Oreochromis niloticus: one gene and its partners. The protein of the gene in region 4 interacts with the protein of the main gene of each other region in a biochemical or structural test. Links are inferred from orthologs where the notes say so. Each region holds a gene or a part of one and is shown on either strand. Other genes may lie near its edges. The genes, in order: slc16a7, potassium voltage-gated channel subfamily A member 1, gucy1a2 and snta1.

The links.
Region 1: the proteins of snta1 (region 4) and slc16a7 interact in a test that uses a peptide from one of them, tested with the Homo sapiens proteins (3 studies listed by BioGRID and IntAct, with this or other methods). The link is inferred for Oreochromis niloticus from reciprocal best matches to the Homo sapiens genes SNTA1 and SLC16A7.
Region 2: the proteins of snta1 (region 4) and potassium voltage-gated channel subfamily A member 1 interact in a test that uses a peptide from one of them, tested with the Homo sapiens proteins (2 studies listed by BioGRID and IntAct). The link is inferred for Oreochromis niloticus from reciprocal best matches to the Homo sapiens genes SNTA1 and KCNA5.
Region 3: the proteins of snta1 (region 4) and gucy1a2 interact in a test that uses a peptide from one of them, tested with the Homo sapiens proteins (3 studies listed by BioGRID and IntAct, with this or other methods). The link is inferred for Oreochromis niloticus from reciprocal best matches to the Homo sapiens genes SNTA1 and GUCY1A2.

What each region holds. Positions count from the first base shown.
Region 1 is NC_031984.2:11,571,582-11,579,144, reverse strand, and holds the start of slc16a7 (monocarboxylate transporter 2), read right to left. Parts: upstream 3,079-7,563; 5' UTR 2,925-3,078; intron 2,811-2,924; 5' UTR 2,797-2,810; coding exon 2,580-2,796; intron 2,430-2,579; coding exon 2,286-2,429; intron 1,509-2,285; coding exon 648-1,508; intron 526-647; coding exon 302-525; 3' UTR 1-301. Other genes in the region: uncharacterized protein At5g50100, chloroplastic, read left to right, coding at 5,484-5,612, 7,003-7,191, 7,272-7,466. UniProt on the Homo sapiens protein: Proton-coupled monocarboxylate symporter. Catalyzes the rapid transport across the plasma membrane of monocarboxylates such as L-lactate, pyruvate and ketone bodies, acetoacetate, beta-hydroxybutyrate and acetate.
Region 2 is NC_031981.2:22,387,329-22,395,324, reverse strand, and holds the start of potassium voltage-gated channel subfamily A member 1, read right to left. Parts: upstream 3,007-7,996; 5' UTR 2,981-3,006; intron 678-2,980; 5' UTR 1-677. UniProt on the Homo sapiens protein: Voltage-gated potassium channel that mediates transmembrane potassium transport in excitable membranes. Forms tetrameric potassium-selective channels through which potassium ions pass in accordance with their electrochemical gradient.
Region 3 is NC_031979.2:18,036,517-18,044,100, forward strand, and holds the start of gucy1a2 (guanylate cyclase soluble subunit alpha-2), read right to left. Parts: upstream 3,048-7,584; 5' UTR 2,115-3,047; intron 2,026-2,114; 5' UTR 2,010-2,025; coding exon 1,692-2,009; intron 1-1,691. UniProt on the Homo sapiens protein: Has guanylyl cyclase on binding to the beta-1 subunit. Isoform 2 acts as a negative regulator of guanylyl cyclase activity as it forms non-functional heterodimers with the beta subunits.
Region 4 is NC_031970.2:7,142,734-7,150,745, forward strand, and holds the start of snta1 (alpha-1-syntrophin), read right to left. Parts: upstream 3,048-8,012; 5' UTR 2,939-3,047; coding exon 2,656-2,938; intron 1-2,655. UniProt on the Homo sapiens protein: Adapter protein that binds to and probably organizes the subcellular localization of a variety of membrane proteins. May link various receptors to the actin cytoskeleton and the extracellular matrix via the dystrophin glycoprotein complex.

The DNA of each region.
Region 1 (7,563 bases), on a different chromosome or scaffold from region 4:
TAACTGATGAAGAAACCAAATGAACTGCTTAAGTTTATAAAGCCATATGGATTGCACTAGAACAGAGGTAGTTCCTTGTAATTTATTAACAAATCCTCAGAGTTACATATGTCACACACTGTAATAATAATAATATACATAATATGAGAATTTACAAAATAACAAATGTGAATCTGCAAGTATTTAAAAGTCTAACTACTCTAAGTCATTTAAGGTATAAAATACATTAACATACTGCATAAAAAGCCTTTGCAATGTCATTTTGTATGCATCCACTGAAATAAAGTCATAGTCATCAAGTTCATTCATCTGTTTCATTCATCGTTCTATCATCCTGGTTCGTTTTTAGTTCTACTGCCTCGTCAGAATTTCTTGTCTCCATTGCTTTGCTCTTCCTGTGCTCCTCATCCAGTTTTTTATAGTTGTAGTAATGCATAATGAAGAAAAATATGCCAGAAACCAGCATGAATACACCGCATGCATAATACATATATTTGTAATCACCAAAATAATCAACCAAAGCTCCTGAAAGAGAACACACATAATCTGTTAGTAACTCCATCTTGGAAATTTCTATACTTTGCTTATGTGTATAATCAAAATCACAATTCAATGAAAAAAAGAAAGAAAAAAAAAACACCACAAACCTGACATTGGAGGTCCCAGAAGCACTGGCCCACACTCAATAATGGTGACAAGTCCAACAGCAGTGGAGAAACGAGGAGCTCCAACAAGGTCCATTAGAACTTCAAAAAGGAGTGCAGAAAGCATCCCAAATGCCAAACCAAAGAAGACAGCATATACAACTAGGCCTGTATAGCCAGATGCCAGTGGGCACATTAGGTGACATATGCCATTGTATGAAACAGCAAAACTGAAAAAATACTGTATTCTTGGCCTAATCCACTTGGTGTTGCCCACGAAGCCAGTTGTCGGTCTAACGAACATGTCCGCCAGAGCAAAAATGGAGAGCAGGAAAGCTGCTGAATATTCATCAATCCCTTGATGTTTGGCATATGGAGCCATGAAAACCACAGGTGCAAAAAAGCCAAAAAACATGACCACATTACCAATTAGATAAATGAGGAAGCCCCTGTGTCTGAAAAGTGAGACATCTATGAATTTCTGCACAAAGCTGTGACCCTTGCTCTCACTTTGATCTTCAGTCTGAAGGTTATCAGAGTGGGTACTGGTGTCTTCAGCAGCAGCGTGTTCCTCAGCTTCATTTTCACACTTTGATGACTCATCTATTGTTTTCCGTTGTATGCTTTTGTTGACTGGTCTCATCAAAGCACCAGCTACACAGCAGTTCAAAACAATGGATCCCAGGATGAGGAAGCTCCCCCTCCAACCAAAAGAATCAAACAGAAACTGATTGAGAGGAGCCAGAGTTGAGAGAATAACTGGACTTCCAGTCATAGCGAGTCCATTGGCAAGAGGCCTTTTGACCTGGAAGTAAGTGCCTATGATCGTCAGGGAGGGCTGCAAGTTGAACGCGAGACCAAAACCTGTTAGAAATTAGGATAAAATTACACACAGTAGTTTATGAATTTATTCCCTTTAGAATATTTTAAATAAAGTGTCTAAAGTATCAGTTAAAAAGTACTTTTAGTCAGTTGAATGCACTTCTTATTATTATCTGTGACATTAGTTTTATATCGGTGATGATTTGTTTACAGAAAAATATACATATATATAACTAGTCCCATGGTATGGACATTTCTTTTCTGTACTTCTCTGGCTGGTGCAGCGCTACTAGATTAAAGATTAGGTTTAAAGTCTGAGAGGTTTGTTTGCTCTCAGTTAGTAAAATGATCATGTGGTCTTGCCTGCACATGTGCATGTGTGGATGTTCTAAATGCACCTGGGTTAACAGGACATTAAGAAAAGGTTTCACCCAAATCTAAACATTGCATTGATGTTGCCGCTTTAAGAAGGGATTATAACTTATATTATATTATATCATAAGGGTCATTGTACTCGTTGCACTGAACGACCAACCCTTGCTTTACACAGGGACATAAACAATCCCTGTGGGTTGATCCTGATAGTAAAAAACTGAATGAGAGTTACAACACAACCACTCCTTCCTTCAGTGTAGTCCAGTTACAACCAGGTGTCATAAAGCAAACATTATAAAGGACAGCAACAGCCATACCAGAAAAATAACACAAAATTGAATTGAACATGTGCACTTTAAGAAAGTGAATTATTTTAAAGGGTAGTTCATTTAATTGTTGGACTAGCCTATCTGACTGTTAACAAAAAAAGGAAACATAATTTACCTCCAATTACTCCAACACAGAGATACAGATGTATTATATTAGTGCCAAGAGAAGCAAGAGCCATGCCAGTGCAAACCATGACCCCGCCAACTATAACCACACGTCTGCTGCCATAGCGATTGACCAGTACACTGCTGACAGGGCCTGCACACAGGAGAGAAATATCTTACATTTTTGGTAACGTTCTGAGGGACAAAATTTGCTTGACAAATCCGGTCATGGGATACGCTGCTTGGGAATGTGCCAATTTTTTTTAATACATTTGTCAATACTTGAAGTATGACGGCCACTAACCTCCTGCATACATAGAAGCAAGCATGACTGAGGACACCCAGGCAATCTCACTGTAGGAAACTGAAAAATATTCCTGAATCTCCTTGAAATAGATGGTGAGGGACTTGGGAAAGGCATACGAGAATCCTATGGAGATGAAAGCGCCGAAGACGACAGCCCAGCCCCAGCCTCCGTCTGGTGGGGTGTAGCCTAGATTGGTTACTGCTGCGGGGGGCATGTTCAATTCGCCGGCTGGAAAGTGGGAACAGCAAAAATAAGTGAACAGAAAATAAACAAGTGCAACTTTTCAAAGAAAGAGTTAGATTCACATATTTTGCATCACATATAAATTTCACAAGACCTCACCTCTGCCCAGTCCTTGAAACTGTATCGCCCAGCCTATGAACTCAGTCCATATGCCACAGTCTTGCACAGGGACAGAGTTCACCCTGCTGTAAGGTCTTTGATCTCATCACGTGTGCTGTCATGAAAAATATGAGTGGCCATACAAAATAGAGCAATAACCCAGCACTAGATATTGATGACAATAAAGCTTCTAGGAAGTGTAATTCAACTCCTAAAATCTGTTTCTTTTAACATTTTACCCTTTCATAGACATACATTCAGTTTTACTGCTGAGGCCCTTTGAACTCATGTAGGCAGTGTTTGTCTACTCCTGTGTGTTTGTGTATTGCGGGTCGGTTGGTCAAAATGACTAAAATATAGTCGTGATAAATACTGATCGCCCACAATGTTTAACAACTGAGTGATTAATTGATTAATGATTATCTTGTTTGTGCGTCATGCTCTTTTGGGAAACCTTTGGGAAAGCTGGGATTTATGTTTTGATGTCACTTTTGGCATAGACTGGCTACCAAGAGCATGCCCCCAATACAATGGCACCCCCCGATGGCAGGGGTCACCCTCAGCAGGGCTAACTGAAAAAAAAATGCTTAGAACACAACCAACAACTTGGTGCCAATCTAACTAGATCACCTGACCTAAGTTGAGGTCAGAGCTGTTTTTACAGTACGTGTGGGAGGGACTTATACAATATTAGGAAGGCTGTCTTAATTTTATGGTTTGTCCATACGCTTTGATTAAGTAAAAGTTAATTAACTGAAAAACTGTGTTTTGTACATGTGGTGAAAAACAGAGTTCTGGCTACAAATTCAATGTCAGCAGTGTTAGGCCATGTGGTTGCTGAATGTAAATGCTGGAAATAATTGGTCTCTATTTTATTTTTCTTAAAATTATGAGTTGTTTAAAATGATGTAGTCACTGGATACTCTTTTAGCTTAGCACACAATCCCTAGTTTTTATGCTTCAGCTCTCTTGAAAAAATTGAAAAAAAATCTGAAAAGGGCTTTGTGAGAAATTACAGGAGAAAATAAACACTCATAAGTGTGCATTATAGATGTTTAGGGATCTTAAAATATGGGCTATGAAACACAGTACTGTATTTTTTCCAACAAAATATTATTATATGTACTTAAGGCTTGTTATGGAATAATTCTTGACCCTACTGCAGATCTCACAATATTTTACGTCCACAGACAAATTAGATCTGTGCAGAAAAAATACAGCTTTTTTTAAATGTGTATTTGCTTCTAAGAACTAATCTCGCAACCTTAGTATTCTATTCAAATTTCCAGCTTTTAGTATCGAAATTAGCAAATTAACCAGTTATGAATTATTGGTTTATCTTTTAGAGGTGCTGTGAGCTCTGTTGTTTTTTTTCTTTCATGAGTTACTTAAAGATGTCTAGACGCTGAGCGATAATGTGCTCCAATTCAACCTCCTCATTAATCAGCTATTCAGACTGCAAACCGCATGTTTTGAAAGAAATACAACAAACACTACATAAAATGCAACTGAGAGGATAATAATTACAATTTATGGATTAGAATTTAAGGAAATTAAACAGTTGACATATCCTCACTAGCCACTTCATTAGGTACGCCTGAGTTGGACCACTTTTTTCTTACAGAACTGCGTGCATAGATCATACATCAGCAAGGTGCTGGAAACATTCTTTTTAGTGTAGATTTTAGTGTATAAACATATGATAGCATCACACAGTTGCAGCAGATATAATGTTGCACAAACATGATGTGAATCTCCGGTTCTACCGCATCCCAAATATGCTCTGTTGGCTTGAGATCTGGAGACTGTGCCAGAGAAACCAGTTTGCTCAGTTGGCACTAAAGGTCTCAAAGAGTGTCAAGTTTGGTAAAGTTGTTCAAACTGTAGCATCCCTTTCCTGTACTTATCTCTCACAACTGGCACCAAGTGTGGTCATCTGCAGCTCTAACCCATCTGCTTCAAGCTTTAACATGTCGAGCATTTAGACATGCTCTTCTCCATGCCTTGGTAGTAATCAGTGGTTATTTGAAATGCTTCATTTTGGCTCAAAGCAGCTCTGGCTTCAACTTCATCAATCAAGTTTTCACTCGGAAAACTGGTGCTCACTGGATATTTCTCTTTTTTTGACCATTCTCTTCATGGTTGTGTGATCCAAGCAGTTTCAGACCAGCCATCTGGATACCTGCTCACTAAAATCTTTTTTCCCCAGTTCTGAAGCCTGTTCAATTGGCTGATTAGATATGTGTAAAAATAAAAAATAAAAAAATCGTGACCTTTTTCGGTCTTGGAATATTGAATATGGGAATGTAAATAAATACTCAGCATTTCTGTTTGTATACGTAAGTCAGAGAACATGGAAATGTTCAGGTTCATATACGTGGCTGCACTTCTCGCACTCCAGTCCACTAGATGGCGATAATAAAACAAACCCTAGATTGCCTCAAAGGGGGAAGAAGAAGTTATTCAAGAGTTATTCAAACGCTTGTATAATACGGTTGTTAGCTGGGGAAAAGTCAGGTTGATTCGAAGTTAGAGCTGTGTAGCCATTTGTAGCTTCAGATGTTTTCAAAAGTGAGAACATGTCTGACTTCGGGTTTAGCCAGATTGCCCAGTTGTGTAAATTCAAGAGTAACATCTGTGCTCTGCAAACATCAGCATCGCACCTTCAGTTCTGAGTCTGGTGTCAGGGTGAGCTGCTCCCACTGTCTCTCTGTTTCTGCTAAACTACATGGCTTTAAAGTTTTAGTTAGCGGGCTGTAAAACGGGTAAACAGTTTTAGGATAATATACTGGTTAATACGTAAACCCTGTAAAGTAACCCGCGTCACTGGTTGAAATGTCTCCAGTTTAGCAGCATTATGCTTGCATTGCGCAAGATCCAGTGATATAAAACCAGGCTTACGATTTCATAAAACTTATTTTACATGTGTAAAACTCCAAATGTAAGACTTGCTTTTGACCTTGTCCTCACTGTGTGGCAGTATCTGTGCCAACTGAGCAAAATTAAAGTTGCACTTTGAACGTTGTCATATTTTAATGTGTCTTGAATATTTTGGTTTTTAAAACCTCAAATATGAATCAAATTCTCAGTGCTATCATATCCAGTAGAGGTCAAGCTATATCCTTAATTATCGCAAATAATTCCGATGTGAAGGAGGAATTCGTCTCTGAGAATAATACATGATGATGATAATAATAAAATAATAATCTGAGAGGGCTTTAAAAACAAACAAACCGAAACTTAAGACAACGCTGTGGCAATACGCAACTCAATTTTTAGTTCATGAAAGTTTTCCTGGGCTAAATTCAAATTATTCAGGATCTTTGATGTAATGTTAGACTGTTAATGAGGTAATCTATTCAAGGTTAACATGTCTTTTTGAAAAAAGATTATGATTTCTCATGTCAGCCACATGTGTTCAGTGTGAACCTGCATTTATTTGTGAAGAGAATGGGGTCCAGCGGTGGACCTGCCCGTCCTGGTGTTCTTTGGTAAACGTCAGTTGAGCTGCAAGGTCAGGCCCTCATGTCATGCACGTGGAGTCTGGTTCTTCTTACAGTTTGATGAAAAGCTGGCACAAGTAGGTCATTCTCAAGGGCTCTGTTCCTCCTCGAAAAAAGGAGCAGTTATCTGTCCTGCTGCTGCGTTGATGCCCTTGTGCAACCCTCTCCAGCTCTTCTTGTGTAACAGCTCGTCTCCTGTATGTCCTCCACACTCCTGTGCTGAGACTGTAAACCATCTTGTGATGGCATGTTAGTATATGGAACTACCTGTGCAACCTGAATGGGCTGCAAGTACCATCTAACGCTACCAGTAGAGACAAGGAAACTAGCAAAAAGGAAAGAGAAATATCAGTCGGGAGCGATATGGGGAGAGCAACGGTCTCACCATTTTCCTGCTTCTCCAATGCAACTGTTGTACTTTCATTTGCACCAAAGCACCAAAGGTTAAATGAATCCACAATGGTTTATGCCTCCTAACAGGATTTATATCCTTCAAGTTTAACTAATTATAGAAAATTAGGGATAAAATATCAGACAGTTCCTCATGTAAATGTCTGCTCTCCACTCTTTTCCAGGTTCTGTATGATGGGCTTTGTCCAATATGCGTGACTGAGATCCGTTTCCTCCAGTTTCTGCAGAGAAACCAGCCTGAGAAAGTACATTTCATTGATATCTCTCTGCCAGGTTATGATGGAACAAAATACAAGGATATCACCTATGAGATGGCCATGAAGGAAATGCACGTGATTGATAAGAAAGACAAGGTAAACTCTCAAGCTCCTGATTTAAATATGGAGTTCAACATAAGTGTGGTATTATGCACCTTCATGCTGTGTGTTGGCAGGTTCACAGCGGAGTCCCAGCATTTGCAGTCATGTATAGTGCCGTAGGCCTTGGCTGGTTGGGTCGCTTTATGATGTGGTCACCTGTGAGACCATTTATGGACAAATCCTATGACATCTTTGCCAGGAACCGCCTAAAGTGGACCGGACGTGGAGAGGAGTGCACCACAGGACGCTGTGAAAAGAAAATACCCTGATGCTCCAGCACTGTTTTATAAGTACTGTAAATACATGAAGAACTGCAAAAAAAATGAAAAAAATGGTTATGTTGGTTATGTAGTTCACCTAAAGTAA
Region 2 (7,996 bases), on a different chromosome or scaffold from region 4:
CCCTGTCAGCCCTCTCTGATCTCCTTGCATTGGTTCCTAATAAAGAGACAGCCCAACCTGCCTGCACACTCAGGCCTGAAGCCCGACTGTTTGCGGAGGACAGCGACCATAAAATTCCATCTGAAACCACAAGCTGCTGTTCCTCTGCCGGCCACCAGAGGCACCAGTGGTGAGTCAGTCCTCACAAAGTCCTGTTAACATAAACATACTGACAGGCTGATGCAGAAGCTGTTTTGGTGTCTGTATATAACCCCTAACAGGAGTGAGGATTATCATTGACTAACACAACCTCAGATGACCTCGCTGGTGTTTGTGGACACAAATTGATGCTTCAGAGTTCAGATAGATGAAAAACAGAATAAACTGAGATGCTGTGAGGTCATGTGGTGATTTCTTTCTGTGATTTTGTTTTTATTTTCACTCCTTACACAACATCAGACCTTCCTTTGTGTGTTTTACTGCCACAGCAGCACACGTGTGCAAGCTTTCAGATCTCCTTATTGCGCACACATCCATCTCCTTACAGTGTGAGCATAAAGGCCTGCTTTCCACATGATGGCATCCATGGACTCGCGGCTTTCATGCGCGCCTCTTTGTTTCCTTTATGCTCATGTTCTCTGCTGCTCTGCTGCTGCTGGCTCGGCCCTGGGGCCACACTCTGCCTCATCCTGCTGGCTCTGAGGGAGATGGATACAGCTTTTCTTTAGAACACAAGCTCATGTTTGTCTGCACATAAAGACACATCCCCATCAGCCCACCGCTGCTGGTCAGCTGTTAGTTTATGGTTGAAGTGAGTTCTTGTACTATCATGTTTGGATCTCATGCAGCCATGTGAGTCTTTATGTCAACACTGTAATCATTAACCAGCAACAAGCTGGAGCATCATTTTCTGTTTTTGCTGTAATCATGAAGGATCCTTGTTTCTGTGTTCTGTGGAGTTTATTCTGCATTTAATCATCTTTTTGTGTCTGTTCTCATTATTTTTGTTGGTTTTATGAAAAATTCATGATAAGTTTGAATATTTTGTTTCTTGTGCTTTTCAGTATCTTGCTGTTGAAGTCAAGAGAACTTCAGTCACTGCTCAGTGTTGTGCTAGTACAAAAACCTGACAGCAGCCATATTATTGGTCAGATTATTCATTACAAACACCCCAAAAGGAAAATCAGCTCCATTCTTCAGACACAGGTGTTGATTTCTGGCTCTTATAGTATAAAAAACCTATACGCAGCACAACATCTAAGCAGTGTTTCCAATCAAGGCAGCACAGACTTAGTTCAGTTCAGTTCAGTTCAATTCAATTCAATTTTATTTATACAGCACCAAATCAAAACAGTCACCTCCAGGTGCTTTATATTGTAAGGTAGACCCTACAATAATACATACAGAGAAAAACCCAGCAATCATATGACCCCCTGTGAGCAAGCACTTTGGCGACAGTGGGAAGGAAAAAGTCCCTTTTAACAAGAAGAAACCTCCAGCAGAGCCAGGCCAGTTATTGTGCAGGGTCGTTTAAATCAACCAAAAAAAAACAGAAAACTGTGTCTGACGTTATCCTACTGCTTTTGTTCAAATATAATTGGTATGGGGTTTTTTTTATGAGTGATAGTATGCAGGCGTGATTAGACTGAGGATTCTTGATTGTACTGTCAGGGTGCGATCAACGCTCCGGTGCTGTTTATGGTTGAAATTAATAACAAAAAACAAATAATAATAAAATAAGAAGAATACAAACTGCAATTCCTAGTTATTCCTGGGTTTAAGAAGCATCACCACTGAGACCACTCCTGCTACCTCACCTCTAATGTAAGATCTTTAACCAAGTTCCGTCCAGAGTGCACCGACTGAACATCCAAAATGCTACAAAGGACACGCAGATGCACGCCGGTGGACACAGAGAGCCAGAGCGCTTGTTTCTAAAAGCAGAGGAGGGCGACCTATTTAAAAGGTTAGTTTCTCAGCCCTGTGGGTGGATTAGCAAAACAAAGCAGGAGCACTATATTTATCCGTTTCCTTATCTAATGCCACAGCCTCATCATGATAAGAACTTTGTGCATCTCCCCGCCCCTGGATTAATGCACTGTTCTCAGACTCCTGCAGCCATGAATAATAACCCACCATCACCCATCCCACTGTGTGACTGGCCACTGGCAACGCAGCGATTTCACGCACTGGATACAGCCATTAGGAGGTTTTTACAATAAACTTTATCATGTTTGTCATGCGGGCGCTCCAAAAACATGAAACTGTAGCTGGATGCTGTGAGGTATAAAATCGGGGGGGAGGAGGAGAAGCAGAAACAAACAGGGACATGAAAAAAGAGCAGATGATTAGCACAGAGATGAGAGATTATTTTGCTGCATTCTAATGTGATGTTCACATGTGTCTGATACAGATCTGCAGGTTTCACAGTCCCAGAGGGAAGGAGGGCTTTAAAGTCAAACGGTGTTCTATTATTATGAGAAATCTTCTCTTAAGACCGGTGGTCATGGCAGCAGGTGCATTCACAAGTGCTACATAAAGAATATACAAACACTGGAGTGGTTGTGTTTACATCTGAAAAGCTCTTGGTCCAACCTTATATCCTGACACGATGAACATAACAAATTCTGCACCTCAGGTTTGAATGTTATGCCTCCACGAGCTGACCTTTAAGCATAATTTTATATACATGTGAAAATGTTAAGACCAGGCTGCAGGCGTGTAAAGACACATCAAAAGAAAAAACACATAAATAACTATATCAGCACAACAAACTCCACCCTGAGCCCGAGGTCACTGAAATCAAAATATCCAACCGGTTTTCTGTCCTGTGCTTTACTCAGTTGTGTATGAGCCAATATGAATGTCTCTGTGAAAAACCAAACCGGCACAGGCTGGACTTAGCCGGGTCTGCTCAATTTGGCAAAGCACCCGCAAAACATGAAGATGTTCTGAAGGAAGTGTGCAGGAATCATCCTGTGACGGACATGAAGGTACAAACCTTTCTGGCAGCAGCTGCTGACAGATTTCAGGTGCTGAATAAAAAACCCCATCACACAAACAGCTCCTGCACGTGACTGTGATCAGTGACTGTTCCTTCAGGGCAGTGGAAGGAGAGCGGATTTATGTAGTTATATAAACTTTTTATTTTGTAGTATTAGCTTAAATTGAAAAAACAAACAAACAACTGAACTGATTATGTATTTTACAGCAGATTTTTTTTCATCCTCATTTCCATTTCCATTCCAATTCCAAAAAACCAAATGACTGTTTTTAAGGCCTGAGGTGTGCAAACTCTGAACTCCGAGTTGAAAGCATCCCGCTGTGTTACTGACGGAGGTTCAGTCACAGAATGTCCCAAACCTCAGCCATCCTGATGAACATGTGTAGGAGTTGGAGCTGAGTCCCACTCTGCGGTACTTCAGGTCCTGTTACCAGCTACACAGGGAAACGGTAACCATAACAACAGGTAACCACTAACAACCAGCATCCATAACAACGGCAGCTCACAAATTAGCTCTCTAATTACAGAGACACAGTTCAGAGCCACTGCTGCAGCTGATAACAACAACACAGCTTCTAAAAAAACTGCAGACACGCATCAGGTCTGCAGGTCAGCTACACAACAAAGAAGTTCTCATTTAAACACAGAAGAAGCACAGAGACAAGCATCTCTACTTTTAAATACAGGATAAGATTCGCTCATCTAAATCACATGATGATTGTATCAAACTCTAGAATATTTCTCAGGCGGAGGGTGAACCGAGGGGGAGCACTACTGGAGACCACGAATGAGACTCACAGCTGGAAATTTAAAGCAACAGATGTGATGCTTGATCCACTGTCTGCTTGTGGAACTGGGTTTGTGTGAGTGGAACAGAAGTCAAACAGAAGAAATCAGTGTGTGTGGTTAAAGCAGCAGAGAAGCACCAGTTTTTCATCTGTTTAAAGATCAGTAAGTGTTACAAGGATCCAGAGGCTCTGAGCAGCTTGTTGTGTGTTCAGTTTGGTTCCATCTTCTTTCGGACACTTCGTCTGCTCCGGTCATTGGAGAAGAAGAGTCTCCTCTGGGAGACACTGAGGCCTTCCTAAAGGACCTAAAGGACTGGTTGTTATTTAGCTGTCATTTTCTGCTCTGCTTCAGCAGCCAGAGTAGTTTCTATCTTACATTCACTCCAATGAACCCATCAGGAACAATTTGGGGTTCCATGTCCAGCCCATCGAACAGGCTGCTCTAGTTCCTATCCCAGATCAAATCACCATGTCCTGGGTCTGCTCCAGCGTCTCCTCCCAGTGCCTGAAACACCTCACCTAGGACTTTGGTTCCTCTTGGTTATAAGTTCCTGCCTCCTCCGATCAGCACACAGTATTCTTACTCTCTGGCATCTGTGGTTAGGTCCACACCTGGAAGACTGACCAGCCTTAGCTAAAATAATGCTACAGCAGACAGACAACAAAAAACCAACAAACTTGCAAACAATTTAACTTTGTCCAGTTATTTAATAAGAGGACTGAGAGATAACAAACCCATCACAATAAAAGAGATGACGACAGTGCTGAAGAAATGAGAAAAGCTCAGCGGTGAACAGGTGACCATAAGCCACATGATTGGAGTGTGGCAGCTTGGGTTTGAGTCTGACCTGCACTCACTTTCCTGCCTGTCTTCACTGTTCTGTTATCAAATAAAGGCAACAAAAGAAACAATCAACTCGAGCATTATGAAACAAAAAGGACACAAAAGGGATGAAAACACCCCAAATAAATGCCGGAGCACAGCTGGATGATTCACCCTCCAGCCTATGAACAGCAGATAACACCTGCTTATATCTACAGCTGCAGCTCTCTGATGCTGTCTCTGTTATCACGTTATCGTGTGTTCATATGAATACTGTTCTTTGGTTTGTTGCAGGGCAGGGTGGATTGTCCGTCTGATTGGTGCCAGTCATCAAAGTACTTTCTGTCCCCCTGACAAAGAAATGAAGGTCACAGAGAGGACACAAAAGCATGCAGAGCATCAACAAAACAAGCCAGAGAAAAACTTTGAACGGAGGAACACCTGAGGACGGTGATGAGCATAAACAGAGAAAATGATGAAGGAAAAACACAAAACTACTCCCCTTCTTATTTCTCAGATTGTGCCTCCTCAGTTCCTCTCCTCGACTCCTCCATTGGGCTGAAGGAAGAATGAGAAAGATGTGGGAACAATCAGTGAATCAGAGGCGACAGGCAAGAAAGACAGGAAATGGAAACCAGGAGACAAGGACACAAACATGTGGATAAGGACGATGATGACAAAGAAACACACAAAACTGGGTCTAAAACATGAGAAACAGCTCAGAGCACAACAGCAGCAAAGTTCTGCGTTCTTCCAGAAACATTTATCTGCGTGGGTTCTTCCAGACACGTAACCGTGTGTGTGTGTGTGTGTGTGTGTGTGTGTGTGTGTGTGTGTGTGTGTGTGTGGGTACAGTAGCAGAGAAACGTCAGATTCAGTGCCCGTGTGGAGACGAGCAGCACTGCTGGGATGACAGTAGGCCTGAGTCAGACTCTGCAACACCTGAGGGAGCGTCACCAACCTCACATCACCACATCTGTGTGTGTGTGCGTGTGTGTGCGCACGTCTCACACGGAGTGCTCGCATGCGTGTGTGTTAAATATATGTGAGTGTGTTTAGGCTCAGGGCTGCATGCAGAGAGTGGCGTGGAGGGGGGAGCACTGTGATGAGTTTAAGAAGTCTTGACAGCAGATGCCTGCATAATAACGCAGAGAGAGGACATGTGCAAGCAGGAAAATCAAGGACACCACGTCATGCGTGCCACTCATTTAAAGTAACAGTTTCTGTGGCGGCTTAGAGCGCGCACGCAGATTATGTGCAGAAAAGGCTGCAGATGCTGCTAAATGGATTTGGAAATCGGTGCTGAGAAATATAGCCGAGCAGGGATTTAAAGAGCTGTGTGTGTGTGAGTGCTTGGTGGAGGTCGAGGCAGCATTTGTTAGTGTGATTGGTTTGGTGAGATTTGTCAGCAAGCCTGTGAGCAGATGCTGATGTGTAGGAGGAGGCCAAGTTCAGCTTCAGCCCAAACAGGCAAAGCGTTTATTCAGGCTGACGATGTAGCTCATTAAAACAGTGCTGGAGTCCTGGAATCCTGGAATCTGGAGTCCAGGTCCTTCAGGATGCTCTGCATTGTGGTCTGAAATTCAGTCTGAGATCATTCTTGCAGGAAAACTGACCATCAGCGTCAACATGGCAGCAATTTAAAATGGATTCCTATCTATCTGCCTCCTCCTGTGTGTGTGTCTGTGTGTGTGTGCACGCTTGTACTTCTGTCTCTGTGAGGACCGGTTTGCGTGCTAAGGCATGAGAGTACACATCACAGCGCTGAGCTGGAGTGGACAGAGGATGCTGCAGCAGAGCGAGGAGGAGCGTGTTGTTTTGCATTTGTGATGCAAGCTGACGCTGAGGCGTGATGTGATGTTCTCTCAGCACACCGGCTTGCACAGAAAGGGCTGCTGGATATTTACCTGGCGAGGCTGCAGGCGCACTGATGATGATGATGATGATGATGAAGATCAGCCCTTACCTCTGCTTCACTTCTTTTCTCCATTTGAGCAGAAATGTCTTGCTGGGCTGAAAAACTTTGTTTGGTCTGCTGGTTTGCTTCAAGAAAACTCAAAGCTTTAAACTCCACAATCAGCTAAGCTTTAAACAAATATTAGCTTGATAAACATAATTAGAGGACACTTTCATGCTCAATGCTTTAAAAACCAAGAGCTCCCGTGATACTAATTTTTAACATTTAAAAGCTGCCGAGCATTCCTGCTGCTCACAGGTCAGTGGTTCACATCAGGGTTTCTTTTCTTCTCTTGCACCTGGTTCTGGATTCATACCTGAAACCTCGAGGGATTTTCCTGCAGGAATCGTTCCACTCAAAGCTCGTAAAGTGCTAACACTTTAATCATGGAGAAGTAAATAATGTTGGAGTTAAAGTACTGAACATTTGTTTAGGAATTCAGCTCAGTTTGGGAAAAATCATCAAACACCCCAAAACCAAGACAGAAACAATCAGTGTTTGTTTACAGATTAATTACAGGAAATATATATTAGTGCTGTCAGCACTAATGACTTTTGTCAGCACTAATATCTATCTATCTACATATATATATATATCTGTATGGAATGGAAAAAGGTGACTGCGACTGGAGGAGCTGTGGGCCAATCATCAGTCTCCACTGGTCACGTATTGCACCTCCAGCTTTAACGTGCACCCTGGGTAAACCCCATCATACACACACACACAGACACACACACAGGGTGAGGGCCTCCCCTCCTCCATCCCACCCACCTCAATGTGTCTGCATGTGTTCAAAGGCCCTCGGGGAAGCAGATCACAAAAAGAAAATCTGTGCTTGTTCACAGCAGCCTACACAGGATATTAACCACACACACACACACACACGCACACACACAGTCAAATCTACAATAACTCAACAGAGGCTGCAGGGGGGAAGAGAGGGGATTACAGCCTCAGAGAAATAATAACAACAACCTCTGCTGCTCTCCACAGACATCAGAGTCATAAGGGAAGAGCAGGGAGGAGAGAAGAGAGGAGGGAGGAGAAGAGGGAGGAGGGATAAGGGAGGAGAGGAGGGAGGAGAAGGGTGGGACGCCACCTGAGATGGATCGGTGTGATGGAAGGGATAGAAAACTGATTGTGTAGAGGGTTTTTTAATTGACAGCTGTCCATAAGCCCCCCACCCCCATTACCACCACCCCTCCTGTTCTGAGTGAATATCACTCATCTTCTCTCTCTCTCTCTCTCTCAGGCGAGGGTATTAAGAGTGAAAAGCATTTTAAAAAAAGGATTTAAGTCTTCTGCTCTCTCTCTCTCTCTCTCACATACACACACACACACACACACACACACACAAAACAAACCAAACAAACACACACACACCAACGTGGAGGGGCTATTGGATGTAAAGTCCTGAGGAGGAGGCAGAAGCTCGTTAAATAACA
Region 3 (7,584 bases), on a different chromosome or scaffold from region 4:
TTAGAGCATATCAGGACCTGGAAGTTAATTCCATATTTTACACACAGTCTATGGAGTCAATATGGCACTCCATTTATCACTCCATCTTCTTTGGTTTATTCAAGTCACAGTCATGGGAGCACTGGAGCCGATCCCAGCTGTCATAGGGTGAGAGGCAAAGTAGACCCTGGACTGTCTCCGACCTGTCTCAAGTCTCAGCAGCACACTTTGTGGCTCAAAGTCTTCAGCTTGTGTCTGATTTACTTCCCACTCATGTTAAACCATGGCCAAACCATCACAAACTACTCAGGTTCATAATCTTTTAGATTTTCAGCATGAAACTGCAAAGTCACAAACCAATGACCAAATACTCAGGATAGATACATATTTCACTCACAACACAGCAAAAGGATTACTCTTGGGCTGATTTTGTAGTTTTCAGAGTTGGGCAATGTCTACTGAACTCCTTTATGACGACATTTACAGTAACAATAGTATTTTTAAATTATTTGTATGCTCCTAAACTAAAAGATGTTTTTACTGAAACACTGTGGCTAAATAAGCTTCCTTTATACTTGAGTAAATCAGGCAGAAGGAGACATTCACGACAGTCATCCTATTCCTTGAATTGTTTTATTCCCCAGTTTACTCGTAGCATGCACATTTTTCCAGTGCTTACAAATATCTCTGGGAAATATCTTCTCTGTCCAGACAGAAGTTTGGAGTAGGCGAGTTCTTAAAACCAGTTTTAAGGCAGCAAAAAGCAACATTATGGTGACATTGATAATATGCAAATACCTTAATATCATAAGTATTGGAGATTGTGGTATAATTTATTTAAAAGCTGATGTCCTCTCCCCAAATGGTACTTTTGTTTTGTCCACATCTTTGACATCTGTCTGTCCATCTGTTTACTTATTTTCTATTGTTGAGTAACTACAGAACAACAGATGCAATCAAATCCCGAACCGATGTACCATCGCGAGGGACAGTGCAATAGCAGATTCCCTAATAACACGCCATCCATCACAATCGCACTCAGTTCTAATAGCGGTTTTATTGTATTACAGCCTGTCACACAACTGAGACACGCAGACACAGCAGCAGGCTCATTCGCCACACTCCCCACATCCTCGCATACACACAGACGAGCCATGGGCATCGCTCTCTCTCTCTGTCTCTCTCTAACTCACAACAACATATTTATTATATAATCAGCCAGATGATTCAGGCTATCAGAGGTGAAGGATGAAAAGAGGCTTTTTTTCGTAGACAGCACAGCACACATCCTATCATGATGTAAGAAAAGACATTGTCTGGGTTTTTGGGAGTAACACACTAATGTGGAGAGGCTTGAATGTTGTTGTTGGGTTGTTTTTGTTCCTGAACTTTGGAGACATCTCTGAGCAGTGAAATAAATGCATCAGGATATTTGATCTTGCTGGTTTTTAAATTACAGGCTTCATCTTCAGGAGACCTGATTTGGTCAGTAATGGACCTAATAATATGACAAACAAGGCATTTCTAATGATTTTTAGAAGAATACTCTATCGTTTTCACAAATTCACACACACTTTAAGTCCCAGATGTGACCTATATTCTGACTGCAGGAGGCAAAATGCACTTAAAGCACCGCAACTTTCTTTAGAAACATGTTAAAGACAATTGATGAGGTCACGGTGAAGCTTTTTCACACTGGTTTGAAATCCTACCGTGGGTGAGGTCAGCCGCCTCAGGCTCTCCCCCAGCGAGTCGAGGTTCACCCTTCTCCTCCTGGTGACCCTCTTGTGGGGCCCGCCGGGTGCTTGCTCCTCACCTGCCGGGCACACGGTCCTTTCGGCGGGGCTGCGGCCGTTCCAGAGCACCGCTCTGTGGGAGGAGGGGAAGGAAGAGAAGGGGCACCCTCGGGTCTCCTCCGCCGGCTCCAACCCGCCGTCCCCTCCGTCTCCCCCGGGGCTTTCGAGCCCACAGTCCGAGCCCACCGAGCTGCTGAACGACTCGGAGGAGATCTTGCGCGACGACGAGGACATGGTGCTGGTTGTGCTGCTGAGAAGAAGAGGAGGAGGAGGAGGATGGTGATGATGATAACAGTGGCGGTGTTGAGGATGAGGATGATGCTACAGTCGGCTCCGTACCACGTCCACCTGTACACCGGGGAGTCATCAGATAGTGAGGGAGGGGGGGGGAGGAGGTGAGAGGGCTGGCTGGTTGAGAGGAAAGGCTTGTGTGTATGTGTGATTATGCGCGCATGCTGTGTCAGTGTGCGGGTGAGATAATGTCCAGTCCAGCCCGTGTCTGTGTATGCATATGAGACGCGTCTGCCTGCGTGTGAGACTCGGGGTAAGAGAGAGAGAGGAGGGGTTGAGGTCGACTGAGAGCGAGAGCACTAACGGCACGCAAACATTTATGAAGGGGGAGGGTATCACCTCTTTAAAACCGTCCTCCGTTACCCCCCTAAAAAACGTCCTTCTCGCCGCTCCCCCGGGTGGCCAAACACTCCAGCGGATGCTTCCGATTAAAAATGAGGAGCGGAAGAATTCATCACGCCCGGCAACAGTGTTTATTTTTAATAAAAGATGCAACTATTTTGAAGCATATGTCCCCCTAATTGCCGAAACTGCAGAGCATAACGCGCTGGTCCACCGATAATCCAAACACATGGTAATTATTCCTCTTGCACGCGGGAGATTTTAACTGCATCAGAAAAAAATGTAGCGTATCTCCCTTTTTTTTTCTCCTCACGCTGCCCAGAAATCCCCAAAGTCACCGCAGATGTGAGATGCGTCTGCTTCCCCCTCTCTCCTCCTCCTCCTGCTCTTAGTCCTCTGCGACAGAGGTTCTCTTGTCGGTCCTCCAGCAGCTAACCGCACTCCGGGCATTCCTCCATCTTTTTATTTCAGCTCTTTCACCGCAGCTCCTTGGCCCTTTTTTGTTGCTTTAAGAAGTGGCCGGAGTAGAGGTGAGCTAGAAAGGTAAAAGCGCGAGAGAGTGAGCGCGAGAGGTGAGCCAGCAGCAGCGGCACGCGCCAGCGGTGCTTCTAATCTGCGATGCACGCGCTGTGAAGTACGCGTCAACGCGCTACTCTGCGCTGGAAAACAAACCAGAGCCAATCGATAGACAGACGGAGTTGGGCAATGTCATAGTTTTTGTACTTTATTTTATTTTTGTATTACATTTTTTATTTATTATTATTTTTATTTATTGTTTATTATTATGTCTTTCGTATTAGGAATTACAGCCATTTTAATAGCCCCCCCCCAACAAAACACACACACACACACACTCACGCACACATTGGACAAAAGTAATTGGACAATAACAAACTGACACAACTGAAGAGCAGTTCACTAGTCAGTAGGTCGCTGGTTCGCTTCCTGACTGCTCCAGCCTTCATGGGATGTTAGATAGACGCACTGAAAACAGTGCTTGTGTGAAGGAGGTATGTTGTATAAAGTGCTCGGGAAAAGCGTTAAATGAAAAGGCGCCAAGTGAGGGCTGTTCCCTAAAATAGCTAGCAAAAGTAGCTCATAAGATTATAAAGGGACCTGGGCTTCCATTTCAGTGAGTGTGGGAAACACATCCCCCACGCAGGATTTCCTACCAATGCTTTGAATGGACCGGATAGTCTTCAATAAACTCTAAAAATTAAATAATACAGAATCAGTATTGATCATTTTTATCCAAGCACTGCCATTTTCACTTTCAATAAAATAGATTGAAATCACTATGGCTGTTGTGTTTTCAGATCTTAAGTAAAAAGTGTCATTACATTGCATGAAAGCAGATGATTTCTCCAAAAACAAAAAGCAAAAATACATGCTCTCTGAAACAGTAATTAAAGACGAATCATCTATTCACTCATTTCAAATAGGCTATTTATACATTCTCAATTGATCTGTAGTTCAAAATGTGTTGTAGACTCTACTATGATATGAATGCGTGTAATATGAACAGCATGTAAAGTATTAAAGACAGTCATTTTGTTTAAAATTATGTTAGTTTGTCTATTTACTTTTGAGCATCCGGAAAAGGGTGGAAACTATAAAAATGGTTGTAATTAGTACACAGTGAATGCAATACTTTTACATTAAATGAATTAAAGATGGAAGTCTCCATACTGTCATTTACATGGTTTTATAATTGTGAAATCTTGGCAGACAACAGTCTGCTCCTCAATTAACTAACAGGAAATGGCACTCGAGCAGCATCTGATTGTAATCAAACAACAGCCATGGTCAATAAGCCAGGTCCGTGGCAATGTGCCAGATATGTTCAACACGGGTTTACATGGACAAACATGGCTCTAAAGGGTGATAATGGAGCTCGCGGCGGTGGCACATGCTTGCTGTATCTGATCAGAGGACAGAATGACGCTCAGTCTGGCGCTAACAACAGTCACGACCTTGACCTCTATTAGCAGATCATGTTCATTAATGGCCCCAGTGGACCAATCAGAAAGACACTGAGTCAGACAGACATAGTGCATGTATGTGCTCACACACCCTAACACAATTTCCTGAAGGTGCGCACTAATTCATTTGACTTTCTGGAGCAGCATGACCCCAATCCACTGCATATCATTTTATTTTTTCTCTTCTCTCTAACTCACACCCACACACTTTCTCTTGTGCATAGACAACCCCACACACACACACGAATGCCTTCTTTTTCTTTCCTTATCTGTCTGCATCAGTCTGCCATCCATCAGTAATAATGTGGGCATTTAATAAAGCCAACACTACAATAGAATAAATGATGTTCCAAAGGAGATAAGCCTACTAGCTGAGAGACTGCCTTGAGCTGGCTGCCAGCCATCTAAAGCTAAGTACAGACAGGGCAACAGATCACTGACTGTGCTATCATGGAAGCAGAACAGATAGAAAGGGCAACTCTTGAAGTACTGTGGTAATCTTCTTCAATAGGCACATGTAACACGGATGCCATTAGACAATAGAAATGAAATAATGGATGAAGCAATCCAACCTTGAGTGTCCTTGGCACAGCTCCTCGCTTTTCCTACAGAATTAAAAATGGATTGATGGATGCACAGTATGTGTTTGCAATGGTGGATGGACGGACTGACAGATGAGGTCGGGCAGGAGTCTACATGGCATATGATGTGATCTGTGGTGAGAGCGGGGAGCAGGGGGAAGACAGTCTGGAGAGGTGGAGGTACGCACTGGAGAGAAGAGGAATGAAAATCAGTAGAAGTAAAACAGATTACATGTATGTGAATGAGAGGGAGACATGTGGAAAGGTGAGCATGCAAGGAGAAGAGGTAGTGAAGCTAGTGAGTTTCAATCTTCCAAAGGAACAGACAGTGCATAAGAGGGGTAAAGGCATGCAGGGCGGAGTGGGTGGAGAAGAGTGAATTTATGAAAATGACTAAAAAGCATCTTGTGATAATTTTTAAGGCAACAGCCAACCTGGAAAACAAATAGTTTTAACTCTTCATATGGGCGAAGTTACAAGTACATTAAAAATGCATAAATCTGAGTGACAGGATCTTAAAAGATGAAAGGGAAACCTTGCACCATGGTCCTTTCTACTCAGACCACATGTGTCTTCTGATTTGACCTCAACTACGATCCCTGGAAAGTTGTGCGTCTGTATCTTGCATGACTGATGAAATCTATCTGCAGAAAAGACAGAGGCAGAACTATAAACTGCCACAACGGCCCACTCAAAACCAGCTTTCCAGTAGTTTCTTCCACAGTAGTGCACACCAGCAGACTCAGAAGGTAAAAACAAATACCAGCCATACTGTCACACAATTTAACCAGTACAGTACAACACTGCACACACAGGTACATGAGGGTTAAAACATAAGAAAGAAATGAACTAGCATATTCTACATGCATAGTCACCTATCATCTGAGGTACAACCTAACATATTGACAGGGAATCTAAAACACACAGAGACACACACACACACACAGAATGAGAAGTATTAAAATCCATACTTGTGAAATGGAGCAAAAACCCACATATAGACAAAGCCACACAGGAAACAGCATCACTGAGTTTAAGCCAGTAGAAGATGAAATGTGTGTAGTTATGGAATGCATGAAGATAAGAAAGGTTCAGGCCCATGGCACACACCAGTGAGTCATGCCTTTAAGATCCTTTCGTTCTGCTGCGCGTGTCTGTAGCGGGCGCTGCTAAGCAGGCATGTCGGTTTCAATTTTGTGACGCAGAAGACATACACTCATATTATTGTCTTATCTCTCTGTCAAATATCTACCTCCTGTCTATACTGAGGCAGAGTGAGTGGGGGTGTAAATGAACCAAAAGCTACAGCAGATGCAATAGGATGGTGCCGGGGATTTGCAGAATAACAGGAGTCAGGCCAGCTGAGGCAGAGATGGGAGAAGACAAATGGCTGATTTGGTCATAAATCTGCCAGAAGCCAATCTAATTGGCCATAACCGCACATCACTCCACGCCACTCTGATGCTATTAACCGTGAAACTGTGCCTCTCTGACACATGCACAATATAAACAACCTGCTTTACTGGTCATGAGGATGGTTTTTTAATAAGTACAACCAGGGTTAAAGAGTAGGAAATTGCATAAAGGAGTATGTTATAGATTTAGCCAAATTTCCACGTAAATGATAGGAATGTGACCCGACCTTTGATTTCATGTATTAAGTGATGGCTTTGTTTTTCTTTTTGTCGGGTGCATCACGGTCATGGTGGCAAGTGCAGCATATTAATGCCAAAACAGATGCACATAGAAAAAACAATGAACAACACACAGATTATTGATCGCTCATAAAAACAATAATAACACATAACACTGCCTTTTCAGGGAAATGAAATTTTGTCAGTGCTCACACTACAAGTAAGGGGCAATCTCCCTGGTCTCATAACACACCTGATTTCTCTTAATAAAAGTGCAGTCCAGTGCCGTCTGAGGAGTATTTTAATAATGTTCCTTATTAAAGAAAGAGTCTCTTTTCTGGGTACCCACAGGTTAAAAATGTAAGGAAAAAAGAACTGGAGGGACTACAGTGAGGTACCCAGTCACTCTGTCCATCTGTATAAATGGACGGGTCCTTATATAGTGCTTTTCTATAATAATCTGTGACCATATACACAAATACTGCAAAATCAAATCTTCCTCTGTGTGATTCTTTGAAATTCAGCACTAATCAGATGTGCAGATGCACCAAACAGTATCTCAGATGAAACCAGAAAATAACAGGGGTCACTGAAGCAGCGAGCCAATAAGAAAGACAATATTCTAACCGAAAAACTGCCAAGGTTGCATGCTGGGGCAATGCTGCCCACTGCTCATGAGAGGCGTGTATCCACAACAGACTAGGTCTAAAGGTTGCAATGCTCTGACATATGAGTGTGTGTACACTTGCCTGTGTGGCTGTGATGACACAGAACCCTCTTTTAGAATTAAGTGACAGCTAGAAAGGATCATGAGACCACTGAGAAAGAAATTAAATCCCACGGCTGGGAAGCAGAGAAGGGCAGCATTGCAAGAGATGAGAATGGTGGGTATGGCATAGAGACAAGGGCTTTAATTTTATATCCACTGTACAATTAAAGGGCCAGGTTTTTGTGATGTTAAATAATCAGACCACAGTGA
Region 4 (8,012 bases):
ACCAACTGCCTTCTCTCAAAGTAGCAATCCCTCTGACTGTCATTGTGGTTATATGCACAGACCGTGCACCTCAGTGGCTCCGAAGAAGGAAAAATGTCTGCAGAGACACGCAAACTTTTACCATTCGGCCTGTCCAGAGACCTGGAGTCTAGATTCCATGCCTCCCCTCTTAAATTTAGACATGTGAGTTAAAGTTGCCTCCGTACTCTTCCTCAAGCTGGGGTGGGCTCCCTAAAATTAACACTAGTGGAGTACTCCACTCCCAGCCACATAGCTTTCATCTTTAGCCAATGACAACTGACTGCTGTGAGCTGCTTCTCTCAGCTGTTCGCAATGCGGTGTCAACTAGCATACAAGTTTTTCTCTGTTCTTTCATTTGTTTCCCGCTGCGTTTCTGACACTTTTTTCTTCCTGCTTCTTTTTTCTTTTTACTCTTTTGACCTCTTTGACCTCTTGTCCCATATACCATTTCTTGTTTGGCCTGCTCTTTCTGCCTGCACCTTTCACTTTCAATCTTGTACACCCTTCCTCCCAAAACTGCCTCTGAACATCCAGCATCACAACAATGTCAAGCCAAAAGGCTTCTAGCTATGATTTGGTTTTAATAACATGCTGTCTGATTTTCAAACCCACCCATTTCCACAGATGGACATCACAATTATGTCATTAGGGCTTGGCTTTGTTTTGTCGTTGGTGGGAATTGCGGGGGGGGGGGGGACTAAAAATTAAGATGTCACCAGCAGCTACAATGATGAGCCATCTTTGCAACATGACAATAATGCAAGTTTACAATTATCTATCAAATCGACACTGTGCATCAACCAATCGCCAAGTGATTACCTGGGAAGACAAACTTGCCAGGAGGAAACTACAGCTCACACACATGCAATTATACCCACACATGCTGCTTATAGATCCATGCCTGTTATTTATTACACCTTTTACTGCCTTGGCAGTCCATGCTTTACAACACAAGGTGACTTAGGGTTGTGAACTGACAATAATTCATTGATATGATACATGTCATCACACAGGGGTTATGATTAAAAATATAATGAGATTTATTGAGACTGTGCAAGAAACCTAATTAGATTTTTATTTTTATATGTAATTCTAGGAAAACTCTTCCAGTACATATTTACAACCCACCAGGAAAATCTGAATTTAAAAAGCTGACTTTTTAGGCGAGAATTGTGGGGTCTGCATTTGCATTTATCACAACCCAAGCAAAATAAGAAACACAGTATAAAATACATCAGTCTGCAACAAATCTTTCTGTGTCAGTTGTTTATTAAAAATTCAAACAGTGTTTATTTAAGTTGCACAACAGAATCATAAGTTCACCACAATAACCTCAAGCAATTCTAGTTAAAGCCAAGGAGGCGGAACCCCACTGTGTGTGGCAAGAATATGAAAATGACCATATTCTAGATTCAATTATAAAGACAATATAAAGACACAAAGCAAGCTGTGTAAAAAGAAAAAGTGTAAATCTATCAGTCACTACTAAATTTCAAGAACAAAAGCTGTGATATTTGTCCGTCTATAAAATATAATAAAATCCAAAACATTCCTAAAACTTTGTTATCACATTCCTGTCCGTTTTATCTTTTATATTTACATAGCACCACTGCTCAACCTTCCTAGTCATCTTCAGTTTGAGATCCCCACAGAGATAGGCTATTTTCGTGGAAGCAGGACAAGGAAAAGTCTTTTATCAGCTGCTGCAAAACACACGGCAGGTATGCAGGCTTGGCTGGTAAGATATGGAGAGATTACAACCTTTCTTCATTGAGAAGTCCCTGTAGAAACAATATTCTTGTGGCCACTATGTGTAGTAGAGGTCTCTGTGTCCATGTCTACTCCCGTTTGCTCATTCAAAGGCAAAGTTCAACAGCCAAAAAGGTCTTTGAACCACCTAAAATACTCTGTAGAGCCGGGATTTAACTCTGTCACATATTTTTATTGGTGTTACAGCTTCATAATCAGAAGTTAGATCTAATAAAACTAATAATGTTGGTTGATAACGCATAATATTCAGGTTTAAAACCTGCTTTGTTTGGTGTCTGTAGTCCATAAATAAATATGTTTAAATGAACTGCTGGTGTCGACACTGCTGGGTAATAAGCATCTACGGAAAGTATTCGGGGATTTGTGGAAACTTTTTAAAACCCAAATCGAGTTAAACAGAATCACGTGCCATTTCCTGATTTCTCTGAATTCAGTTATCTAAATTATTTAAACTAGTGTTTATTTTTTGTGTTTGTTTGGGGGCACACGGTGGAACCCAACGTTACATGACAGTAGCGAACTAATTACCGTCTCCGGTGACTGTGGTGCACTGAAATGGTTCCCTGTTGAGCAGAGAAACAGCTTGAGAAAATCACAGCTGTCGTTTTTCTGCGCTAACATCGGACCTAAACGTGTGAGTTATAACACGAACGGATATTTGTCATAGAGCAAATCGCGGAAAAGTTGCATTTTACGCACGTTTCTGAGAATTGTTGCACATTTTTGAAGTTAGCCAAGTTAACTGGCCGCTGTTTTCGTGGTCGGTGACAGAAGGTACGCTGTAGTCAAAACTTGTGTTAACTGACAGTAACTCGCCGTTCATGCAGTTAGCTATCTTTAAGATACTTTCGTAAACTACCTTACCTTTGATACTGATTCCGAGCCCGCCAACATCTTGCTTGGTAACTCGCACCGTGCGCTTCACGTTGGTGATGGTTTCCGGGACCGGGGACGAGCTGAGGTTCGGGGGGTCTCCGTTAATAGCACCAGCGGGACTCGGGTTTGGCTTCGCGGGTTCTTCGGTGCCCTCACCGGGGTTTAACGTGAGACTATCTTCGGTAAGTGTAGCCAGTACCCGGATCCAGCGGTCCACGGTCACTCGAAGTTCCAGCAGTCCCGTTTTCTGCGCCTTCGTCGCGGCAGCCATGTTCAACGCATTCCTGGAATAACTCTAGACGGGCTGGCAGTCCTGTAAGAGGGGGTAGAGGGCTGTGGTAGGGGGCATGCAGACACACACATTGAGCCCCCCTCCCTCCCTCCCTCCCTCTATTTTCTCCTCCTCCAAAAGAGGTTTATCCAGTAGTAGGCTAAGTAAAGTTAATCGAGGGCGATGCGATTAGCAACGGTGTTGACACACACTCAAAGTTCAAAGAGCTTCTTGTTCAGCCCATCCGTTAATCACCAATGTGAGGTTGAGTCACGCATAATTAAGTTTTGATTCATTCATTTATTTATTTATTTATTTCGAGTGTATTTCAACACCCAGCCTCACATCACAGATCTCATTTCCAGTGTGCCCAAAACGCGCAAAATCACTGCGCATATATATATATGTATATATGCATAAGTTCTGCAATAAGGAAAACAACATCGACATGCTTTCAAGGCCAGAAATGCATTTTTAGTGAAGAGAGCTTATATCGGGAATGACACCCACTAAGCATCTTCGGCTTGAATTCTGCTGACAGAAAACAGTGGGTGTGATGTTACCATGAAGAAGCCTGCACGTTAATCAGAACAATGATATTTATTGGCTTTTATTCAAAATGGGTTTCAGGACAACAGGCACTGAAAGAGGCCATAAATGCCCATCAGTACCATGACACTGATGCCCTGTTGCAGCAGCTGGGGCATAGTTAAAGCTGATCAGTATCCAATAAAATGTTGTTAAAAGCAGACACGTGACCAATATGATGTTGTACAAAGCATGATTACCCCAAAGCTCTTCTCCAGTAGGTACCAAATGAGGTGTTTGAGCATCGCAAAGGATGAATCAATGCTGGATACAGACCAAGACCAAACGACCTCATCTCCCAGACTGGGAATTCCATGGCAGTGAAGAAATGGGCTTAAAAAATACGTGAAAAATTTGTTGTTTGTGTTTGAAAATTTCAGCAGATAGAAGGTAGAATCGTGGTTTAGATTAGTAAACTGATTCCACCGGGGCTACTGCCAAAAATGCAAACTCATGGTGTTTCCATTAAAAACCAAAAACACAGTCCTGCGTATGCTGAAGATTAGTGCCAGTAAGTGGAATTTCAGTTCTTTTCATTCTTACCCCAAGTTACAATTATATTCAGTCCAGAATTTTCCAGTTTAAATTTCCAGTTCAAACTAAATTATTCTTCATTTTTATTTTATTTCCTTCCTTATTTCTTCAGTTCAAACTGTTAAGCAGTTCTTTCAATTTCTGTTGCAATTTGCAGAAATCTGCTACTCTGGCTATCACTTTTTTCATTTAGTAGTCAGTCGTAAATATTTAATGAAAAATGTGAAAAAAAAACATGCAATAACTATTTTGAATTATTTCCTAATATGCCATGATTTCAGGAGTAATAAGCCAAGCCGTTCAGTCTCGGTCTTGACAGAAACTCAACATGGATAAGTACTGCACTGTTGTGGTGACTCAGCAGAGGTGCACTTAATTGTGCAGCATAGACATTAAGATCATGCAGGAGTCACTGAAACAAGCTGATGAAGCAGTCCTCATTTCCTATGCTCTGTTGCATCGGCAAGGTATCTGTCAGCCCTTCAGCTGTGTGTGTGGCAGCCTGTGTTGCATCTGCTTCACAGCAGGTGAAATAGCAAAGAAGTCCCAGCACTCAGGGTTGGAAAACACTCTTCTGGGTGGGCTGTTGAGAGGCAGTTGCTCCCTTAATGAAAACAAGTTTGGAGCTTTGACTGAAAATTGCTCTAAACCCATTCAGATGCTCTAAATATGCTCATCTGTCAACAACATTTCTTTATCATTCTAAAGTAGCTAATCAACTCAAATATCAACGCTTACTTTATTCTAATTGGTTCATGTTTACTGTAGTGAATATTGATGTAACAACTTTATTTCTAACAACTTGTTTTTTAAGTCATAGACCATGGATCAGCTTCACACTAAATATTCAACAGGGAATTCCAAAGCCTAGATTCAAATCTTTTGTCTCCCTCTAGTGATTAAAGGGCTCTATTACCTCTACACTGGAAAACATTTGACTAGTACCTAATCTGTTTAAATAACAAAGATTTCCTACATGTCATATACAGTACTTTAAAAAAAAATCTAGGAACATCTTTTGATTGTTATGTGATGAGGTTTTCACTGTGATAGAAATAAGTAAACAGTAAAAACAGCTGAATTAAGAGAAACTATTTCTGACTTTTTGCTAGTCTTGTTAAAGAAAAAACATTTTGCAGTTATAAAGTATAGGCCATATGTATAAGGTTAAAATGCAATTACTGTGTCATTAACTGATATTAAACAACCACAGCCTGTCCCAGGATTACATACCCTTTGATTATTTAGCTCATATCCAACCATATGTCTATTAGTATTCATGGATTTGTAGGCACATGGTACTCAAAGAGCAAAAAAAAGAAGAGATTTTGACAATATAAACAAATATTGGACCCCAGCTGTGCAGCCCAATCACAAGTATTATTTGGACATTTCAGTTGCCCAGGGTGACACTTTAAAGTAAAGACAAAGGGTTTACTTGGAAATACTAAAGATACAATAATTATACTGTTTATCAACATACAAGATGGAGCTTGTTTTTATTGGCATAGTGACCATTAATATTATATAGATGTGATGGGGAACACAGTCTTGCAGTTAAAAATGTGGATTTTCAAATTTAAAGTGAAGTCAGATGATTCCTGTGCTTCCAAATAAGTGATACAAACTCAGCTTTCACATCAACCCTGTTGTTTTCAGCAACAGCAAGCAACTGTTTTAAAATAAAAAAGACACAACTATGATGAAACCACTCTGTGGCAAGTGTACAATGTGAACATATTAGTATCGGAGCTTGTTGTAGCCAAGCGGCAGTGTCCTGTTCTGTTCAACCTACCGGCGCACAAAAGAACAGCACCTGTAGCTCACCTGTCAGAGTGTGTACCCCATGTAGAAAAGTCTACCCTCAGCTCAGAGGCCTGGGTTTGGTTCTGTTCCAGCTCATGTGTGCAGGGTATGTAAGACTGTCATCCCAATCTTCCTGTTCTAGAAGGCGGAAAAACCCCAAAACAATAAACATGTCGCCTAAAGGAAATGGCTATTCAGTTTCTCCAGTAAGTATATTTTAAACCTGTTTTTCAATATCTAAAATTAGCAGCCCATTCAAAATCACAATGAATTACAGATCCACCTGCCTAACCAAACTAGTTGGTGCTGGCATTAGCTAAAAATTACCCACCTTTGAGCTCTTGTCTAAAAGTGTTGTTTCCTTGTTTGCATTTTTTGTTGTTGTTGTTTTTAAACAACCCAAGGTCCCTAAATGATATAGTCCACCAACAGCTGGGTACCCATCTTTTATATACAGCCAGTGTGGTTTGAGGTTCAGTTACCATTGCTACATTTAACATAATTAATGAAACAAATGATTTATGTGAAGTTTATTGTCACATTTTCTCATTCCACCCATAAACCTTATCCTCCTTTGTCCACACTTTTGTTTAGAAAAGGATACTTCCTTGTACTAATTAGCACATGTATAGAAGCACACATATAAATAGCACAGCAAAAATGAATGGGAGACTTCAACAACAGTGCTTGACTTAAGAAGTGGGTCTACATGGTGATGTTTAGCATTATGACAAGTGTTTGACCATCTGACCCCCAGTCTATGCATCTGTTGGTCTATTTGGGATGTGAGTGGCAGGAGGCCAGCCTTTCTTTCACAGTAGCACAGCTTAATATATTTGCAAAGCTTAGCTGAATGGAAGAGCAGGATTTGTAAGGATCTCTCACACACAAAACACAAAACTGGTTGCATTGTTTGGAGTGGATCTAGTCATATATAGTATTGAAACTGTGCACATTAAAGTAGTGACTTGTTTGCAAGTGTGCTTGCATTTACAGTAGTGTAGGATGACATCATATTTCACCATTGTCCTTGCAGGATTTAACCAATACTGAGCACCGTCAAATTACACTAGAGCTTAAGTCAGCAAGAAGTCAAGGACCTGAAATTAAATCTGTTTTCTGTAGTGTACAGGAAAAACAACCAAAATGGTGAATGATGATTTGCACTAACAGAGTGCGTTGCATGAATATATGTCATTGCTGATCAACCTAATAGCAGTGCAGTTATATTGGGCTTGCATGTAAAAATCAAGAATGATCGAATAAAGGATATAAAATACAAGATTTTCATTTAAATATTAAAAAACCTTATTTAAATGCTTAAAATGACTATATGATACATTAAAAAACAAAAGTTGACCATGTATTTAATTTTATCTTCGCTAACATAATTTAATAAAAAAGAACTATTATATAAATATATATGACTAAATGTAAGTTGAATAAAAGTTTAACATGTTAACAATCTATAAACATCATTTCTGTCTAAGTCAAGGCAGACTGGTTTTCTGCTATGCTGAAGACAACTCACATGACCCTATAGCACTTCTCAACAACATCAGACTACTATTGTATCTCTTGTTGTTGTTTAAGTAATAAGAAAATACTTTTGAATAATAATGACAACAAAGTAAAAACACAATTTGTATATACAGAACACATGTGAAAATTGCTAGATCATTATTTTTATCTATTATTTTTTATATATTTCAATTTGATAATTGCTTAAAACACTAGAATATGTATTGTATTTATGTTAAATAAATGAAATCAAATTAAGAACTTAAAGCATTATTTCCACATAACTTATAACCCCTAAAGGGGGTACTCTGCCTCTTACCCAACGCCAGCTGGGACAGAATGCAGCCCCCTTCCCATGTCCATAGTTGGATAAACGGTTAAGAAAATGAATGGATGGATGTACACACACTCAAACAGACAAACAGACTACAACCCCCCAACTTATCTTCTCTACACCCTTAGTTCAGTCAGTCACATATATGCATATCTCAACTCCCCAAAGACAGTGGACAGTTGGGGAGCCCTACTGATTAGTTTCAACGTCCCCCTGCATCCTTCTGCCTTCTCCTGCCATCCTCCAAGCATCTTTGCTTCCCTCCCCTACTCTGCTAAGGGCAACAGCTCC